2 linked regions of the Arabidopsis thaliana genome follow. The protein of the gene in region 1 interacts with the protein of each later gene in a pairwise test. Each region holds a gene or a part of one and is shown on either strand. Other genes may lie near its edges. The genes, in order: HSFA3 and OFP13.

The links.
Region 2: the proteins of HSFA3 (region 1) and OFP13 interact in binary tests that used the Arabidopsis thaliana proteins (3 or more experiments, as listed by UniProt).

Annotation. Positions count from the first base shown.
Region 1 is NC_003076.8:970,642-976,240, reverse strand, and holds HSFA3 (heat shock transcription factor A3), read left to right. Parts: upstream 1-1,914; 5' UTR 1,915-2,557; coding exon 2,558-2,899; intron 2,900-3,431; coding exon 3,432-4,328; 3' UTR 4,329-4,613; coding exon of another isoform or gene 4,614-4,846; intron 4,847-5,067; 3' UTR 5,068-5,099; downstream 5,100-5,599. Other genes in the region: CTR1 (Protein kinase superfamily protein), read left to right, coding at 86-170, 265-363, 597-665, 769-900, 1,015-1,109, 1,187-1,283; AT5G03710 (replication factor C large subunit), read right to left, coding at 4,614-4,846, 5,122-5,134. UniProt on the Arabidopsis thaliana protein: Transcriptional activator that specifically binds DNA sequence 5'-AGAAnnTTCT-3' known as heat shock promoter elements (HSE). Involved in heat stress response. Activated by DREB2A under heat stress.
Region 2 is NC_003076.8:1,397,211-1,401,350, forward strand, and holds OFP13 (ovate family protein 13), read left to right. Parts: upstream 1-2,184; 5' UTR 2,185-2,474; coding exon 2,475-3,257; 3' UTR 3,258-3,574; downstream 3,575-4,140. UniProt on the Arabidopsis thaliana protein: Transcriptional repressor that regulates multiple aspects of plant growth and development through the regulation of BEL1-LIKE (BLH) and KNOX TALE (KNAT) homeodomain transcription factors.

The sequences.
Region 1 (5,599 bases):
AATTACTTGGATTTGGAAGGTTTGATGTACTGAGTGTAGAATTTTGGCCTATAATGACTCTAATACCATGATTTCTTTCAAACAGAGGTAGTTTATACAGACTTTTGCATAAAAGTGGAGCAAGGGAGCAATTAGATGAGAGACGTCGCCTGAGTATGGCTTATGATGTGGTATGTTTAATTCCTTATGTTACATGTATGGGTGATTACTTCCTGATCTTGGTGTTTCTTCACATGGAACTTTCTTTCCAATTCTCTGTCACAGGCTAAGGGAATGAATTATCTTCACAATCGCAATCCTCCAATTGTGCATAGAGATCTAAAATCTCCAAACTTATTGGTTGACAAAAAATATACAGTCAAGGTTTGAATCTAAATTAGAAATTGTTGTGTCCAATGTTTTGATTTTGATATTTTATTCCTCTTGTGAGACAAGCTTATATATAAATTATGATTTTTAATTCTAAATTGGTTTGGAGACATTACAAAAAGGCGTTAATCTGCTGAAACTTAAAAGATACAGCAGCCTCAAGCTGTCGTCTTAAAAACAATCAGAACATTATTATTCTAACTCCTCAATTTGTCTTGAAATTTCAGGTTTGTGATTTTGGTCTCTCGCGATTGAAGGCCAGCACGTTTCTTTCCTCGAAGTCAGCAGCTGGAACCGTAAGTTCAGTTTGTTTGAAACTAAAACACGCTGAACAACGTAACTTTCTTCTAGGTCCTATTTCCAATGGAAGCTAAATAATTACTGACTTTGATATATCAGCCCGAGTGGATGGCACCAGAAGTCCTGCGAGATGAGCCGTCTAATGAAAAGTCAGATGTGTACAGCTTCGGGGTCATCTTGTGGGAGCTTGCTACATTGCAACAACCATGGGGTAACTTAAATCCGGCTCAGGTACTTTCCACTCTAAACATCTCAAATAATAATGATATTATTTTGCATTTGGAAGTCCCTCACTCTACATTTCATAACATGCTATATATGATCATACAAAAAAATGTTCCATAGGTTGTAGCTGCGGTTGGTTTCAAGTGTAAACGGCTGGAGATCCCGCGTAATCTGAATCCTCAGGTTGCAGCCATAATCGAGGGTTGTTGGACCAAGTACGTTAAGATTTTCTATCTCTTTTTTGAATTCTTCTTGAATAGACTTCATGTTTATGTATGTGTTTCATTACCAGTGAGCCATGGAAGCGTCCATCATTTGCAACTATAATGGACTTGCTAAGACCATTGATCAAATCAGCGGTTCCTCCGCCCAACCGCTCGGATTTGTAAAATACCCCCGGTCCATTCAAAAGTTGTTATAATCATGATATGCACATATACTCTCAGCATTCTTTTGCTGCCCAGGAGGGAGACACTAGTTAAGATATAGCTTTAAAGGTACATTCCTCATGAGCTATCAATCATATCCTACAGAATCCCATGGTTTTTATACATGTATTATTTTTGCGATCTTTGTCTGCTGTTTTGTTCCCTTTTTAATGTTGCAGATTGTTAAAATGTACATGACTATTGTCACAGGGAGGAAAAAAAAATGTAGTAATGGAAACAATGTGAGGGATATAATCTATCTATCTAGTCCCAAAGGGTAAGCAATATTTTGTTGTTATGTCTTTGTAGCAATGCACTGAAAGCTATATTTAATTACATTGCTGTACATTTATACCGCTAAATTAGTTACTAAGCGAAGGTAAAAAAGAGCAGCTGGTAAATGCTGTCAAAGGGTTTTGCAAACTCAATATGATTCATTGGATTTACATTTGTTCACTGTGCGATTAGTCTGGACTATAAACCAACAGAAATGAAATAAGACTGTAACTTTCGGAGACTCTAATACAGATGAATATAATCCCAAATCGTTAAAAACGCATTGGGACTGAAAATATCTAGATACATAGTCAACTATTTTTGCCTTCGCGTCTAAGTAAGTTCCCACACTTGAAAACGACTTTACCTGTCTTCCGAATTAATCGTTTGATGGATCGGTAACCAATAGGATTGCGTAAATCAAAATTATACAATATTAAATTCTGAAAAAGGAAACACGAAAAGCGAATCAGTGATTTGTGAGGGCCCAGTTCCAAATTAGAAAGCTGACCTGGCAAACGCGCTAAATCACTCCTCCTTTCAAAAATCTCAAGATGACGTGGGACCCACCATCGTCACCACTTTCTCTCCTTCACCAAATCACAGAGAGAGAGAGCTAAGTGAAGCTGCAAGGAAACAACTTTCAATTTCAATGTCGGTTGTACAATTATTTGTCACTAAAGTTTCCAAATTTCTTCTAAACTGATGAATCAATGGAACATGATGACGAAAAAGATAAATCCACGGTGGCGGGAACTGACCCACCCATTTCCACCGCCTCTCTATTCCCCAGATTTTTTTCAATTATCTGACTACAGTTTGTCGGTTACTTCCTTCCCTAAACCTTTATAAACCATTAAACCTCTCATCCTTCTTCTCTTAAACCCCCTAATTATCACACACACCCCAATTTCTCACTCTCTCTCTCACTAAAACCCGTAAATTTTCTACTATATCAAATGAGCCCAAAAAAAGATGCTGTTTCTAAACCAACTCCAATTTCAGTACCCGTTTCGAGACGATCCGATATACCCGGGTCTCTCTACGTCGACACTGACATGGGTTTCTCTGGGTCACCACTTCCCATGCCACTAGACATCTTACAAGGGAATCCAATTCCACCTTTTTTATCCAAGACTTTTGATTTGGTTGATGACCCGACTCTTGACCCGGTCATCTCTTGGGGACTGACCGGAGCTAGCTTCGTAGTTTGGGATCCTCTAGAGTTTGCCAGAATCATACTTCCAAGGAATTTCAAACACAACAATTTCTCCAGCTTCGTCAGACAGCTTAACACTTATGTAATCATCTCTCTTGCTCTGTTTCTGTTTTCTAGATAGACTCATTCTTCTTCTTCTTCTTCTTCTTTCAGTTTTGTTTTGTTTTTATGTTTCTGTAATCTTTTTGATGACCAAAACCATTTTGTATAGATTCTTGAAACTCGTTTTTTGATAACTTGTAAAAAATTACCTGTAATTTTCTTTTCTTTTTGGGATTTGTTTAATCTCTCTATCATGTAACACTGAGTTTTGTATCTATGAAATTTTGGCCTCGATTGGATCTTATAATAACTTCTCATCTGAAATAAGCTTGTAATCTTGTATACTTATGGTTTCGTTTGAATGGAGAATTTTGGTTTATGAAGTTTTGTTATTTTCTCACAATGTTAACTTCAGTCTGGTTTAAGACATCATTACTCACATGTTCTTCACACTTCAGAGGTAGAATCTTTCTAATATCTTGAGATATTTGGTCTTGTCTTGATGTAAATGTGTTTACTTACTTTATCTTGAGCTTGTTTGAGTTGTTTTTTTGGGGTTGGAATGTTTCCAGGGATTTCGAAAGATTGATACTGACAAGTGGGAATTCGCTAACGAGGCTTTCCTTAGAGGCAAGAAGCATCTTCTGAAGAACATTCATCGTCGTCGATCACCACAATCCAACCAAACTTGCTGCAGTAGCACTAGCCAAAGCCAAGGGTCACCTACTGAGGTTGGAGGAGAGATTGAGAAGCTGAGGAAAGAGCGGCGTGCATTGATGGAGGAAATGGTTGAGCTTCAGCAGCAAAGCAGAGGCACAGCTCGACATGTGGACACTGTAAACCAGAGGCTGAAAGCTGCAGAGCAACGTCAGAAGCAATTGCTCTCTTTCTTGGCTAAGTTGTTTCAGAACCGGGGTTTCTTGGAACGCCTGAAGAACTTCAAAGGAAAAGAAAAAGGAGGAGCTCTTGGATTGGAAAAGGCGAGAAAGAAGTTCATCAAGCACCACCAGCAGCCTCAAGATTCTCCAACAGGAGGGGAGGTGGTGAAGTATGAAGCTGATGATTGGGAGAGATTGCTAATGTATGACGAAGAGACTGAGAACACCAAGGGTTTAGGAGGGATGACTTCAAGCGATCCAAAAGGCAAGAACTTGATGTATCCATCAGAAGAAGAGATGAGCAAACCAGATTACTTGATGTCCTTCCCATCTCCTGAAGGACTTATTAAACAAGAAGAGACGACATGGAGCATGGGTTTCGATACTACAATACCGAGTTTCAGCAACACCGATGCATGGGGAAACACAATGGACTATAATGATGTCTCAGAGTTTGGTTTTGCTGCAGAAACAACAAGTGATGGTTTGCCTGATGTCTGCTGGGAACAATTTGCTGCAGGAATCACAGAGACTGGATTCAACTGGCCAACTGGTGATGATGATGATAATACGCCAATGAATGATCCTTAGGATCTTTTCATATATAGTTTAGACCAAAAACCCGTTTCTTATCGGGTGAACTATTAATTCATTATTCATTTTGAATGCACTCTTTATACATATATATAATATTGATGAGTTTGATTGTTCCTTTCTTATTCACTTAATCCAGGGTCTAATAACATTGATTATGAAGGATATATAACACAAAATTATGCTTTTATCTGCTTGAGTAATTAAAATTTTTGCAGGTCTGAAGTGGAACAATGTTTCTTTAAAAGGATTTTTCTCTCTGAAGCTGTCTGGTTTAATCATTTATGTCCCAGGTACGAATGCAAAAGCTCTTTCCTCTCTCTCTCTGTCTTCTTCTTCTTCTTCTTCTTCTTCTTCTTCTTCTTCTTCTTCTTCTTCTTCTTCTTCTTCTTCTTCTTCTTCTTCTTCTTCTTCTTCTTCTTCTTCTTCTTCTTCTTCTTCTTCTTCTTCTTCTTCTTCTTCTTCTTCTTCTTCTTCTTCTTCTTCTTCTTCTTCTTCTTCTTCTTCTTCTTCTCCTTTGCTTGTCTGTTGGGGTATGTTTTGTGTCTTGATTGAAGGAATTTGTACCGGTTTATAACAGATTTATAAACTAATTACAAATTCAATAGCCAGTATTCATGTAATCTCGTCTCACGTTTAGCTAACCTGACGATTACACATAGAAGAAACGGTAGGAAACGAAGAAAAATGATGAAACCAAAAGATTTTTTTTAAAAAAAGAAAAACCTAAATGCAGGAAACGAAGCGCAGAGAACGAAGAAGAAGAAGAAGGAAGATAGGAGATTTTTACCCCAGAACTCCATTGTCTTGAGAGGTACTGTGACCTGAAGGAGACGATGCGTCAAAGAAGAAAGTTCTCGAAGAAGATGATAGCGGTTTCGTCTCTCGAGCGCAGTTTTTACTTTTTAGGGCGTGAACTTGCCGTGAAGTGAAGGCTATTAATCGGACCAAGGGATTTTAGGGCATGTCCCTGTCATTTAAATCTATGCAAATCGGTTATATTCATACTTTGAAATTTTACTATCAAAAAGTTGATATGGCCGAGTTGGTCTAAGGCGCCAGATTAAGGTTCTGGTCCGAAAGGGCGTGGGTTCAAATCCCACTGTCAACATTAATTTTTTCTTACTTGGGCTTATTTAGTTTCGGCCCATCGAATATAGATTGTTGCAAGTGAATCTAGCAGGCCATTATAATGAAATTAAAAATTAACAGTGGGCTTTAAATGCCCATTTTGATATAAAATATATGATGACTGCAAAAATATTCGA
Region 2 (4,140 bases), 430 kb from region 1:
TAAGATTTCTTACAACTGTGCTTGGCATTTATTATTTCTTACACAGTTAAAACTCAAGTAGAATAATTATACTAATGTCGGTCTTTAGCAAGGGGATAAAAGAGGCATGTCCAAGATGTTCATGTATTATAATTTCGGTTTTCGTTGAATTGTTGAAATTGTGAACAGTTTCATAAAACCAAGTAAGAGTATTCAAATAACTTTTTGTTAATCAACTGTATAAATAGGGAGCAAATTTAAAAGGATAATATGGCAAAAATGTCGTATTTGAACATAAAATTAAAAAGATGTAGGAACACTGTAGAGTATTCCAAATATTGCATGTTATAAACTTTATTTTTAGACATCTTCATTTGCAAACACGTTACAAGTTGAATAGTCTATCATGAACACTGTAGAGTATTCAAAGTACTGTAAATGAAAAAATGTAATTTATATATAGTCTAATGTATTTAAAAATTTAAACCATAGAGAGGAATATACTGTACTTTTGTAAATTTGGTCCCCTAACTAAAGATCTAGTAGTAGAAGATGGAAATCCACAGTTAATATATGCGTGATTCAACGGTGCCCTCTTTAATTCCTCACATGAGTTTTGCACACAATCTTTCTCTCTCTTTTTCTTATTCTATGTTCCCATATTTATCCCACAAACGTTGATCCAATATCTTACGCAAATTAAGGCAAAACAGGAAATTTTTGCAAAAGAGAAAGATATGGAGGTGTTGGGTAAATAAAGTTGAAAATGTACGAAAATAATGATGCATTTATTTCACAACAATGGGTTTCAACATCAGATTGCTTCTGTTTAAATCTTTTACTACTTTCAGTTTTATATCTCTGATAAACTCTATAATATTGACTGATTCCTAAAGGACACTGTCTCAGGATCTATCCCCTACATTCTTGTTCTACCTTGATGGATCATATATTTTACCTTAGTAAAGAAAATCGTCCAAGAAATTCATCATTAATTAAAAACATACATATAACATAGTCCTTCTTCGAATATAAGACTTCAATTCCTCAAAAAAAATTAAACGAAATAAATTATTTTTAAATATATATTCAAGAAACTGATGTTCATCGAGTTTAATTATTCAGTTGAATTACAATTCTTACTTTTAGAAATTTGTATTGCGACCAAGAAGAAACATTCTTTAAGCTCAAAGCTTCATATAATTTACACATACGTAATTTATAGATAACACGTTGACCGAGAGTATTAGAAGCTCACAGTGCTTATAGGAAAGTCAAAACTGACTGCATCAGTACGATTTTTACGTGTTCGTTTATGGATTATATAATACAAAATAGCTTATACATCAGTTTTAAAAAAATTAAACAAATTAATTAAGATGTAAAACACTATTAAAGTCGTAAAGAGAGAGTAATTAAAAATGAGAAGAAGATTTGACAAGACGAGCCAATAGACAAGAATGTAGTACCGTCAATCAACCTTTATAAAGTAGTAGTAGTATATAAAATTACTAAATGTTTATTGGGATTTGTTTTTCTGCAACATTTTCTTGTAAGCAATCGTTTTTAATGCTTTGTGTTCTGCACAGTGCTTTGTCATTGGCTCGGGACTAACATTTTTTCTAGTATTATTTTATTTTATTTTAATTAAAATATTTAATTTTTCTTGTCTTCAACCAAATTGAATGCTACTGCTGTGTCTTACTATACTTGTTCATGAGTATAATATTATCATCTTAAATTTAGATAACAAAGACAAAATAAAAATTCAAATTCCCATAGAGCCATTATATCGTGTTTGCATGAAACTTTTGTTAGTTAAAAAATACAAATTCAACCTCTCCAACAAGGCAATAACAACCCATGGAGCTAATAATATGTAAACTGCATGAGGATAAGTGTTTTCGTCACACAAGAAGATTGTCAATTTTTCAAAACAGCAAAATATTTGTAAAAAACATAATTCTTCCACTCATGTGTATATCAATAAAATCACAACGACAAAAACATTATTGTAAAATGTAGCAATAAACTATTTGTAAAAATAATATATCTCCATTATAAAAACATTTTTGTAAAATTGATCAATTATTAGATCGAATAGTGTAGAAAAAACCAATATTAAAAATTTGGATTGTAGCAAATCAAATATTGGAAAAAACTATTGAAATCCCGGTTGAACAGAAAACGAATCGAAAAAGCTAACCACAAAGCAAAACAAAAACAAACTATCAACTTCAATCATCGTAATTTTTATAGTTAAGACTTTAGACTAAATAAGTAAAAGCACTTCAAATAACTAACCAGAAAAAAATGGAAAATTAACAACAAATAGAAAAATATCCCAAAATTAAATAGACACATGACCTGACCCCACCAGCTCTCTCTTCTCTCCCCATATATCGCATTCCCTCCAACTCCTTCCTCTTCCATTAATTACTAAACCCAAACCCAACCAAAGATCTTCACAAAGAAAAAAACAATTGGTGGTATCAATGGGGAAGAAGAAGATGAAACTCTCTTCTCTGTTCAAAGGCGGAGCCGGAGGATTACTAGCGGTTCCTCTCTGTTACAATGCCAAAACTCTTTCGTTCCGAGTCGGCGACGACATGATCAAGACGGTGAACTCTGTTTTCTTCGACCACCACCACAACAACAACAATGGAGGAGATTTGTTGGAAGCGGAGACGCCTGAGTCATGGTTTACTAACTCGTCCGAGACAGCGAGTCACTCAACCGAGTCGGATCAAGACCTTGACGCTGAGTCCTTAGAGATGGTGGTTCGTGGCGTTGTTAGATCGGAGCGGTTATTCTTCGATCCAGGAGTTACGAGTTCGATTCTGGAAGAGATTGAAGAGAAATCGAAATCGGATTTGAAATCGAAGGAAACGGTTGCGGTGGGAGAAGATCGGAGTACGCCGATTGAGGAGATTAGTGTCGCGGTGGCGATGGAATCCGAGGATCCGTACGGTGATTTCCGGCGATCGATGGAGGAGATGGTGACGAGTCACGGTGAGTTGGCTAAAGATTGGGAGAGCTTGGAATCGATGCTCGCTTGGTATTTGAGGATGAATGGGAGGAAGAGTCACGGCGTTATCGTCAGTGCTTTTGTTGATCTTCTCTCTGGACTCTCTGATTCCGGCGCCGGAATAACGTCGGCTTCGGTATCGGATTCGGCTCGTTATTCAACCGCCGTTTCGTCTTTGCCGTCGTCGCCGGTTTATTCGTTATCTCAAGGTCAGACGGAGATTCAAGAGGAAGAGAGACGGAGCTGTTAAAAATAAAAAAAGGCTTAAGATTCGGTTTTAAATTTTTTAATCTCCGGTTTTGTTTAGATTAATTAACCCTTTTTGGATTTTGTAAAAAGTAATTAGTGGTTAGAGGAAAAAGAACCATTAAATATATATCAAAAATATTTTTAGAGCCATTATTGTTGATTTATGTGTATAACAGTGCCTTTTGTCATAACTCGAAAGTTACACTATTTTTCCCCCAAAATTCATGAAACTCAGCGAAGTTTATGCCAACAGATTCAGAGAAATTTTGTATAACAGCCCCATTTTAAAAGGAAATATACATAAGAATAAATTCTGTGATACTTCTTTTTATTTAAGCTCTTTATTTTTTACTTCTTTTTTAGGTTTTAAAGGACATAGAATTATAATTTCTCATTTTTTTTGCAGGCATATTATATAGCCTTTCTCATTAGATGTAGGCATGTAGCTCCTTTGGCATCCATATTAAAAATTTTTTTGTCACAAATATTGGACCTTACATTTTTTTTCCCCAAATAAAATTTGGTATTACGAATTTTCGATGGTTACACAAGGACTACTACACTAACATAAACTGTAAGACTCATTAAATATCATGCTCGGATAATTCATGTATTAACATTAATAACATAGAGATTTTATTTATTGATTTGACTCTTAAAAGCATCATCACGTAAGATATTTAGCAAAACCCTTTTTGTGATATCCATGCTGGAGTTAAAATCTTGAAAATAAGCGTAATAGAAACACCCGTAGTGTATGTATAAATGTAATTGTCATGAACTTATGAGATTCAAGTTTTAAAAATACAGAAAAGGATAGTGTATTTACGAGGGTGCATTAAAAGAGAATGTTGGTCTATAGTAACGTTTGAATTGAAATGTTA